Callithrix jacchus: one gene and its partner. The protein of the gene in region 1 purifies or fractionates together with the protein of each later gene. This does not show direct contact. Links are inferred from orthologs where the notes say so. Each region holds a gene or a part of one and is shown in the gene's direction. Other genes may lie near its edges. The genes, in order: CLTB and CLTCL1.

Evidence for each region.
Region 2: the proteins of CLTB (region 1) and CLTCL1 purify together in Homo sapiens (affinity purification with mass spectrometry; 3 studies listed by BioGRID and IntAct, with this or other methods). This does not show direct contact. The link is inferred for Callithrix jacchus from reciprocal best matches to the Homo sapiens genes CLTB and CLTCL1.

The regions. Positions count from the first base shown.
Region 1 is NC_133503.1:70,798,030-70,802,489, forward strand, and holds the start of CLTB (clathrin light chain B), read left to right. Parts: upstream 1-1,483; 5' UTR 1,484-1,658; coding exon 1,659-1,845; intron 1,846-4,460. UniProt on the Homo sapiens protein: Clathrin is the major protein of the polyhedral coat of coated pits and vesicles.
Region 2 is NC_133502.1:210,881,848-210,885,656, reverse strand, and holds part of CLTCL1 (clathrin heavy chain 2), read left to right. Parts: intron 1-1,712; coding exon 1,713-1,886; intron 1,887-2,893; coding exon 2,894-3,091; intron 3,092-3,809. UniProt on the Homo sapiens protein: Clathrin is the major protein of the polyhedral coat of coated pits and vesicles. Two different adapter protein complexes link the clathrin lattice either to the plasma membrane or to the trans-Golgi network.

The DNA.
Region 1 (4,460 bases):
AATAAGCAATCAAAAAAGAAGGTAAAACTTCCATTTACAATAACATCAAAAAGGCCAGGTGCAGTGACTCATGCCTGTAATCCCAGCACTTTGGAAGGCTGAGCTGAGAGGATCACTGAGCCCAAGAGTTGAGGCTGTAGTGAGCTATAATTGTGCCACTTCACTCTAGCCTGGGCAAGAGTGAGATCCTGTCTCAAAACAAAAACCAAACAACAGCAACAACAAAAACCCATGCAAATGGACAGCAATAAATAAATACATTTAATTAAATAAACCAATTTTAAAAAACCACTTTAACATCAAAAGGTGCTCAAAGTATTACCAAGTAAACTGCAAGTTCCAGCTGGGCTTGGTGGTTGACACCTGTAATCCCAGTACTTAGGGAGACCAAGGCAGGAAGATCCTTAGAGCCCAGCAGTTCAAGACCAGCCCAGTTAATACAGCGAGGCCATCTCTAAGTAAAAATATTGAAAAGAAAAAAAACAAAAAACTCTGGAAGTTTCTTTCCTTCACCCTACGTCCACTTCCACCCCCAGCTTCGGGCACATCTTTCCTTTCTCTCCTCCAGTCCATATTTCATGGTTGCCCTTTAAGTCCCACATTAGAAATAGCAGACAGCCCAAATCCCATGATGTTTCTTGGCATCGTCTCCGTGTACCCCGTGTTTAAATGTCACAGCACCTCACACACAGTGCTTTGACGGACCATTTGCCATCTGTTGTCTCACTGGATTATAATCTCCCCAAGGCCAAGGCTGGATTTTACAAAACGTTGCTGTCCTGGTGCTTGGCAAAGCGCAGGCAGGGAGGAAGCGTTCAGAGCCTCTTCGCGGAGGGCAGGGGGCAGCGTGGAGAGTGGCAGGCTGCCTGGGTAAACCAGGTCTACCTTTCTCAGGCTGGTTCATACCTAAAGGACATTTAAGGGGCCCAGTTTCTAAGCAGGGGCTCAGCCAGGCCATCCAAACTCTGGTCGTATGAGCTGAAGCCTCCTTAAAGGAGACACACAAAAAAATGCGCAAAGCAACACGGCCTAGTGGAAAAGGACCTGGACTTGCATGAAAAGGTGCGGAGCAGGCTTTCGCAGTCTCAATTCTTCTCCTCTTACGGAGGCAGAGACTCAGAATGAGGTGCTTGACATCCCAGAAACTTTTGCAGAATGAATCAGCAGCCAGGTCTGCGCTCCCGGGGCCAGGGCTGGCCGCCTGTCGCGGCCCTGTGCACGGTACGGCCACTTTGTGCCCTGCGTTTCGCCTCCAGACCTGGCGTGAGCTGTGCATCGCCCAGGTGTCCTGGACAGGCGCAGCTGGGCGCCGCCGCGGAGGGAGGGGAGCGCCGCCCCCGCCGGTCCCGGCCCCGCGCTGCGCCCAGGCCTGCTGCGCCCTCCTGCGGTCACTGCTTGGAGACCTCCCGGCCCTGCGCCCCGCCCCCCTCAGTGACGTCACCGCATTCCGGCCCCGCTCCTCCTGCCGCGGCGCCAGCACCGCAGTGACAGCGAGCCGGGTCCGGTGGCGGAGAGGAAGTGTGGTCCGCGCCAAGCCCGTCCCCGCCGACGCCGGCTCCCCGCGGCTCGGGTGACAGCGTCGCGGCCGCCGGGCGCAGCGCGGGGCAGGCGCGGGCAGAGCCGAGCGCAGCGGAGGCTCCGGCGGAGGCGCGGGGAAAATGGCTGATGACTTTGGCTTCTTCTCGTCGTCGGAGAGCGGGGCCCCGGAGGCGGCGGAGGAGGACCCGGCGGCCGCCTTCCTGGCCCAGCAGGAGAGCGAGATCGCAGGCATAGAGAACGACGAGGGCTTTGGAGCACCTGCAGGCGGCCATGCGGCCCCCCCGCAGACGGGCCCCGCGAGTGGGGGTGAGTCAGCGCGGGGCCTGGAGCGGGGCTTGGGGCGCGCACCCGGGGGACCCCAGCCGGGGCCCAGCGGCACAGGGAAGAGGGCCTGTTCTAGGCCAGCTGGGGCAGGAGCTGGGGGGGACGTGGGGAGAAATCTTCTTAGAGATCTCCACGTAGGACCTCCGAACTGGGATGAGGCCTCGCCTGGGCTGTGGATCCAGCGACTCCCGGGACAGGAATTCGGTCATGACATTTCATCCCTAGGCCAGCTTCCCCGCTGCCGGGCTCTGGAATCCAACCCCGGGTCAGTTTTCGGAGTCCTTCCTGAGCTTCGTAATAGCCTGGCTGTCCCAGGCTCCCAGCTAAGTGTGCAGGTGTGGGCAGAACACAGCCTCCTGGCCCCTCAGCCTTAGCTCTCTCCTGCAGCTGGGAAAAAAAGGGGGACCCTGGGTGCTGTGGGAACTCACTAACCTTCCCCAGGGACCACCTGCCTTTCGGCAGCCAGTGAGCTAAGTGCCTTGATTACATTTAATCACTTCATACTCGTTATTGAACCCATTTCAGAGATGGTAAAACTGAGGCTCAAAGGCATAAGCTATTGAAATAACTAGTAGTGGCAGATCAAGAATTTAAACCTGTTTCTTTTTCTTTTCTTTTCTTTTCTTTTTTTGAGACGGAGTTTCGCTCTTGTTACCCAGGCTGGAGTGCAATGGCGCGATCTCGACTCACGGCAACCTCAGGCTCCTGGGTTCAGGCAATTCTCCTGCCTCAGCCTCCTGAGTAGCTGGGATTACAGGCATGCACCACCATGCCCAGCTAATTTTTTGTATTTTTAGTAGAGACGGGGTTTCGCCATGTTGACCAGGATGGTCTGGATCTCTTGACCTCGTGATCCACACGCCTCGGCCTCCCAAAGTGCTGGGATTACAGGCTTGAGCCACCGTGCCGGGCCTATTTCTTTTATATATATATTTTTTCCTTTTCCTTTTTTGAGATGGAGTCTTGCTATGTGGCCCAGGCTGGTCTTGAACTCCTAGGCTCAAGCAAACCTCCCACCTCTTCCTCCCAAAGTGTTGGGATTACAGATGTGAGACACTGCACCTGGCCGTGAATTTAAACCTGTTTCTGTCAGACTCAAAGCCCTCTCCACCTGACCACACTGCCTTCCAAGTGTCTGGCTCTGAGTTAGACACGGGGGTGTGGGTTGCAACGAAACATTGGTCAGATGCGGTCCAGCCCTGCAGGGTTTTGTGGTTGCTGACTCAATGGTTTTCCAAAGGTGGTCCAGGGCTATTATGATTTCTTGTGTTTGGCTTCAGACCTCAGAGTTCAGGGCCTGGTCCTGGAAGATCATCTTTTCTTTTTCTTTTCTTTTTTTTTTTTTGAGACAGAGTTTCGCTCTTGTTACCCAGGCTGGAGTGCAATGGTGCGAGGAGATCATCTTTTCAATGATGTTCCTGCTCTGGTTCTGGCTAGCAAGAATGATTTTGTAAAATATTTAGTAAAAAAGTAGGTATCACCTTATGCGTGCATCCGAAACAGGCCTTACTGTTAATGTCACTTTGGAGAGGTTTTGTTGTAATAAGTGCTGACTTATATACAAATAGATATATTTTGGTTAATGATGTTTACAAGGCTCTTCAGAGTCATGTTTGTATTCATTCAGCATTTGCTGAGCACCTACTGTATTCCAGGTCACTGGGGATACAGAAATGAGTATGACAGTTCTTGTGGCTGAGAAGTTTGAAGCAACCCTGTATCTCCTTGATATTAGAAATGTAACCAGGCTTTTGTAACATGCAGGAAACTGGTGGCCCAGAGAATTTGAGTATCTTACCTAGAGTCACACAGCCAGGTGTGACAGATCTAGGACTCGATCCCAGGCCTCTCAACTCTGGGCTCCGTACTCTTTCAAATGCTGTGGAGCCTGGGCAACATGGTGAAACCCCATCTCTACAAAACATGCAAAAGTTAGCCATGTGTCGTGCCATGCAGCTGTAGTTATAGTTCCAGCTACTTGGGAGGCTGAGACAGGAGCCTCACTTGAGCCCAGGAGGTGTAGGTAGGTTGTAGTGTGCCGTGATCATGCTACTGTAGTCCAACCTGGGCAACAAAATGAGATCCTGTCTCAAAAAAAAAAAAAAAATGCTGTAGCAGTCACCTTCCTGGGAGGAGATAGGATGTGGGGATGAGAAGCAAGGAGTCTTTTGCCACCTGTCTGAGACAGCAATGGAGGGCTTCTGAAGTGGCAGCTCCCAGCACCTCAGCACAGATCCTGCCCTGCCCCGCCCCAGGGAATTCCTAAGAAATGCCTGCCCCAGTTAATGCACCAGTATTCATTGGTCCATACCTCTGTGAGACCACCCTTTTCCTCAGTCTGGCTCACTGGGGTCTGTTGGGGGAGGGGTACAGGGTGGAGGAGGGGTGCAGGGCAGAGGAGGGATGCCTGGTGGGGAGGTGTTGCTGAGGGGAGCCATTTTCAGAACTCCAGGAGAGAGAAGATGGGATTCAGGCCAAGGGCAGTCAGATGCCTCTGGGAGTTGAGTGGGCTGTGGCCTCTTCCCAGGATGGCGGGGCTCCAGGGGCTTACAGGCTGGATGGGAGGTTCCATCTCCGGCAGGGGTGGGGCACAGATT
Region 2 (3,809 bases), on another chromosome or scaffold:
GTGTGTTAGTCTAAAAGTCCAAAGATAAATTTCTAGAAATGAAACTGCTGGGTCAGGGGCACATGCCCATCGCAGACTCCCCTGACCACTCTGGCCACTTCACGTTCCTACTGGTGCTTCCACTGGTAGCTAGACAGCATCCCATGTTGTGATGTCTTTCCCTTGGTTACCATCAAGGTAGAATTGATTTATTAGCCACTCATATGCATCTGGTTAATTGGCTTCTCCTAATCTTTGCATTTTTTTCTATCAGGATATTTTTTTTAAAAGTAGAGATGGGTCTTGCTATGTTGCCTAGGCCAGTCTAGACCTCCTGGCCTCGAGCAGTCTTCCTGTCTCAGCCTCCCAAGTAGCTGGGGTTACAGGCGTGTGCCCAGCTCCAGGATTTTTACCTTATTTGTAAGAGCTTTTTGTACTTACAGAATACTAAGTGTCTGATGTATTCTGAATATTTTTCCCAGTCATAATTTGTGGTATGTGCCACTTTATTGAAAGTTGCATTTTTGTGTGTCAATGGCATCATGTTTTGAGAATACTTCTGTACCCCAAGATGATCACAACATTTACCTATATTTTCTTTCATTCCTCTCCTAATTGTGTTTGTTTTTTATTTAAAATCTTTGACCCATCTGTAATTTATTTTCATCTAGAGAGTAAAACAGAAATTCAGTTCCTTGCTCTTACTTCCATCTCCAGATAGCTAGTTGACTATATTAATAATATATGCTATATATTGATTAAAGTGCCTGTTTTCCACGAATGTGTTACCTACTAATTGTTTATTGTTTCAGAGTTGGAGTCTTGCTTTGTTGCCCAGGTTGGACTCAGAGTCCTCGGCTCAAGTTATCCTCCTGCCTTGGCTTCCCAAGTGGCTGGGACTATAGTCCTGTGTCACCACACACTCATTCTTACTAAATCCTCATACATGATTCATTCTCTTTCAGGGCTCTCAATTAAGTTCTATTTCCCTCTCTCTCTCTCTCTCTCTCTCTCTCTCTCTCTCTCTCTCTCTGTCTCTCTCTCTTCCAATGGTAAAATTTAATGTATATGTTTAATAATGTGGTTGGGCAAATGCATCTTTTTTTTAACCCATCCCCTTCAGGTTTTCTTGTGTGTTAAATATTTTTCTGTAAAAGTTAATAGCATTTGGCAAAACTCAAAGGTTACTAAGTGGTGGTGGAAGGCGCGCTGGGACATTAACTTGTCACTTTAGGTCTTTGTCCAGAACTTTCCCCTTCTCTTATGAACTCACAGCTTGCTTAAAGGGGTTTGATAAACCGAAAGGATTGCTCTACCTGAAAGATAAATGGAGTAGCCTGAGTCTATCGGACCTTTATTTGAAAGTAGTTGGACAAAATATTGGCTTTAAAACTAATTCTCAATCAAGTACAACTTAGAATCCATGTCTCAGTGAAGCATTGCTCCCACCAGTAATCTCTTGGCCTGAGAGACTGAAGAATCCTCATAATAGCTGAATGTGGCAGCTCACACTTGTAGTCCCAGCTACATTGGAGGCTGAGATGGGAAGATCACCTGAGCCCAGGGGTTGGAAGCTGCAGTGAGCTATAGTGGCACCACTACACTCCAGCCTGAGTGACAGAGCAAGATCCTGTCTCAAAAAAAAAATCCTCTTTATCATTTATGAACTCTTTTTACCCACATGGCTCCTCCTTTTTACTTCTTAACTTCTTGCTGTCGTTGTCTTCTGACAGATTGGAGCTAAACATGGTGTTATTTACTTGATCACGAAGTGTGGCTATCTTCATCTGTACGACCTAGAGTCTGGTGTGTGCATCTACATGAACTGTATTAGTGCTGACACAATATTTGTCACTGCTCCACACAAACCAACCTCTGGAATTATTGGTGTCAACAAAAAGGGACAGGTGTGTAACTCTGATGTTTTGTTTTCCACCTTTTCCATTCATTAGGGACTGGTGTTTACTTTCCCTCTTCTTCAGGAAAGTGGCTGGGCATAGTTTATCAATGGTTCCTGTTATTAAAACTTAAATCTATGTCTCCTTCTCCTTCATATTGGCACTTCCCCTCTTCAGACAGCACCATTTCTAACACAGGATTGATTCCAGGAGAGCAGCTCCTTCCCGCACGAAACAGCAGTTCTGATGCCCAACACATCATCTTCAAACCACGCACACCCTAATTTGGGAGGGTTGGAAAAGCAGATACTATGGTATTGAAGTTACTTTTCTCAACCATAGTTGAAAAAGATAGTTAAAATAAGAAACTCTTGTGTGGGCACATAGTTTATGCCTGTAATCCCAACTAAATGGGAGGTTGAGGCAGGAGGATGGCCTGATCCCAGGAGTTTGAGGCTGCAGTAAGCTATGACCACACCATTGCACTCTAGCCTGAGTGAGATAGTGAGAGCCTCTCTCTAAAATTGAAAAAAAAAAAAAAAAAAAAGGAACAGTGGCTGATTCCTATAATCCCCGCACTTTGGGAGGCTGAGGCAGGAGGATTACTTGAGGCTAGGAGTTTGAATCTAGCCTGGGCAACATAGTGAGATGCTGTCTCTACAAAAATATTTTTTAAAAAAGAAAGAAAAGAAACTCTGTGCTTTAAAAATAAAAAGTTTAAGAAGACAAATTATCAGTTCCATCCACATAGATCATTTTGCTGTAGTGCAGATTGCATCACTGGGGTGCTTATCCATGTGACTTTAACAACTACGTAGACTCGTATGCTGTTCTGCTTTCTTACCTTTCAGCTTCCATCTCCTTTGCATCCTCTCACTACGAGGGCCACCGTCACTGGTGTGCTCAACGCTCGCCTGAGAAGGTGGCTTCCCTCCGGCATCGGGAGGGAACACGGCAGAGGGATGGTGGAGCACTCCTCTAGGCTCAGCCGCTCTCACTTGTTGGGTCCTTTACAGGTGCTGTCAGTTTGTGTTGAGGAAGATAACATTGTGAATTATGCAGCCAACGTGCTTCAGAATCCAGAACTCGGTCTGCGTTTGGCCATTCGTAGTAACCTGGCTGGGGCAGAGGAGTTGTTTGTGAGAAAATTCGGGACCCTCTTTGCACAGGGGAGCTATGCTGAAGCCGCCAGAGTGGCAGCGTCTGCACCAAAGGTGATAAACCTCGAATACTGTTCAAGTGTTCTGAGTGTTAAGAACCAACCTTGAGAGGAAAATAAGTCATACAAGTATTTCACTACTAATATTGCAGTGTATTTGTGTTAGGAGTTTTTCGTTTAACATTTTTGCACCAATGGCCTAACAGTTAAGGAGGTAAACAGAAAAATTATCCACAGTCTTCCTGTATCAGCAGTTCTGGTCTCCCATTTTGTGTGCATACATACCTCTCACCCAGCAGCTTAGGTACAGTTTCACATTTTTGTGACTTAGAATTTTCTACTCCTGCTACCTGGTTGTCAAATATAACTACAGTACATGAAGTGGTTGTTCCCTGTTTTATTTAGCAGTAGTCCGACTCTGGACTTTCTCTACTCTTTTCGAATATACATTTCTGTATGTGGCTTTTTCTTTGGTTTATTTCATTTGGATAAATTTTTCAGAGACTGGATCTGCTCCTGAGTAGATAAAGATTCCAAGTTGCTTGTCCTTGAAAGAATTTTTCTTGTCTTTCAAGGGGTAGTTATGAACAAACCATTTCTAGCCTTCATCATGAATTTAAGTATTTTGAAATAGAATATAATGATAGCAGAACTTCACTACTGCAAGACTGACTGAGAAGCCTAATTCTCCCTGCAGCATGCTGGGGGAGAAGTAAGAGCCTAGGTGTGAAGCCACCTGTAGGACCTAGAGTCCCTCATACTTTCAGTTATTG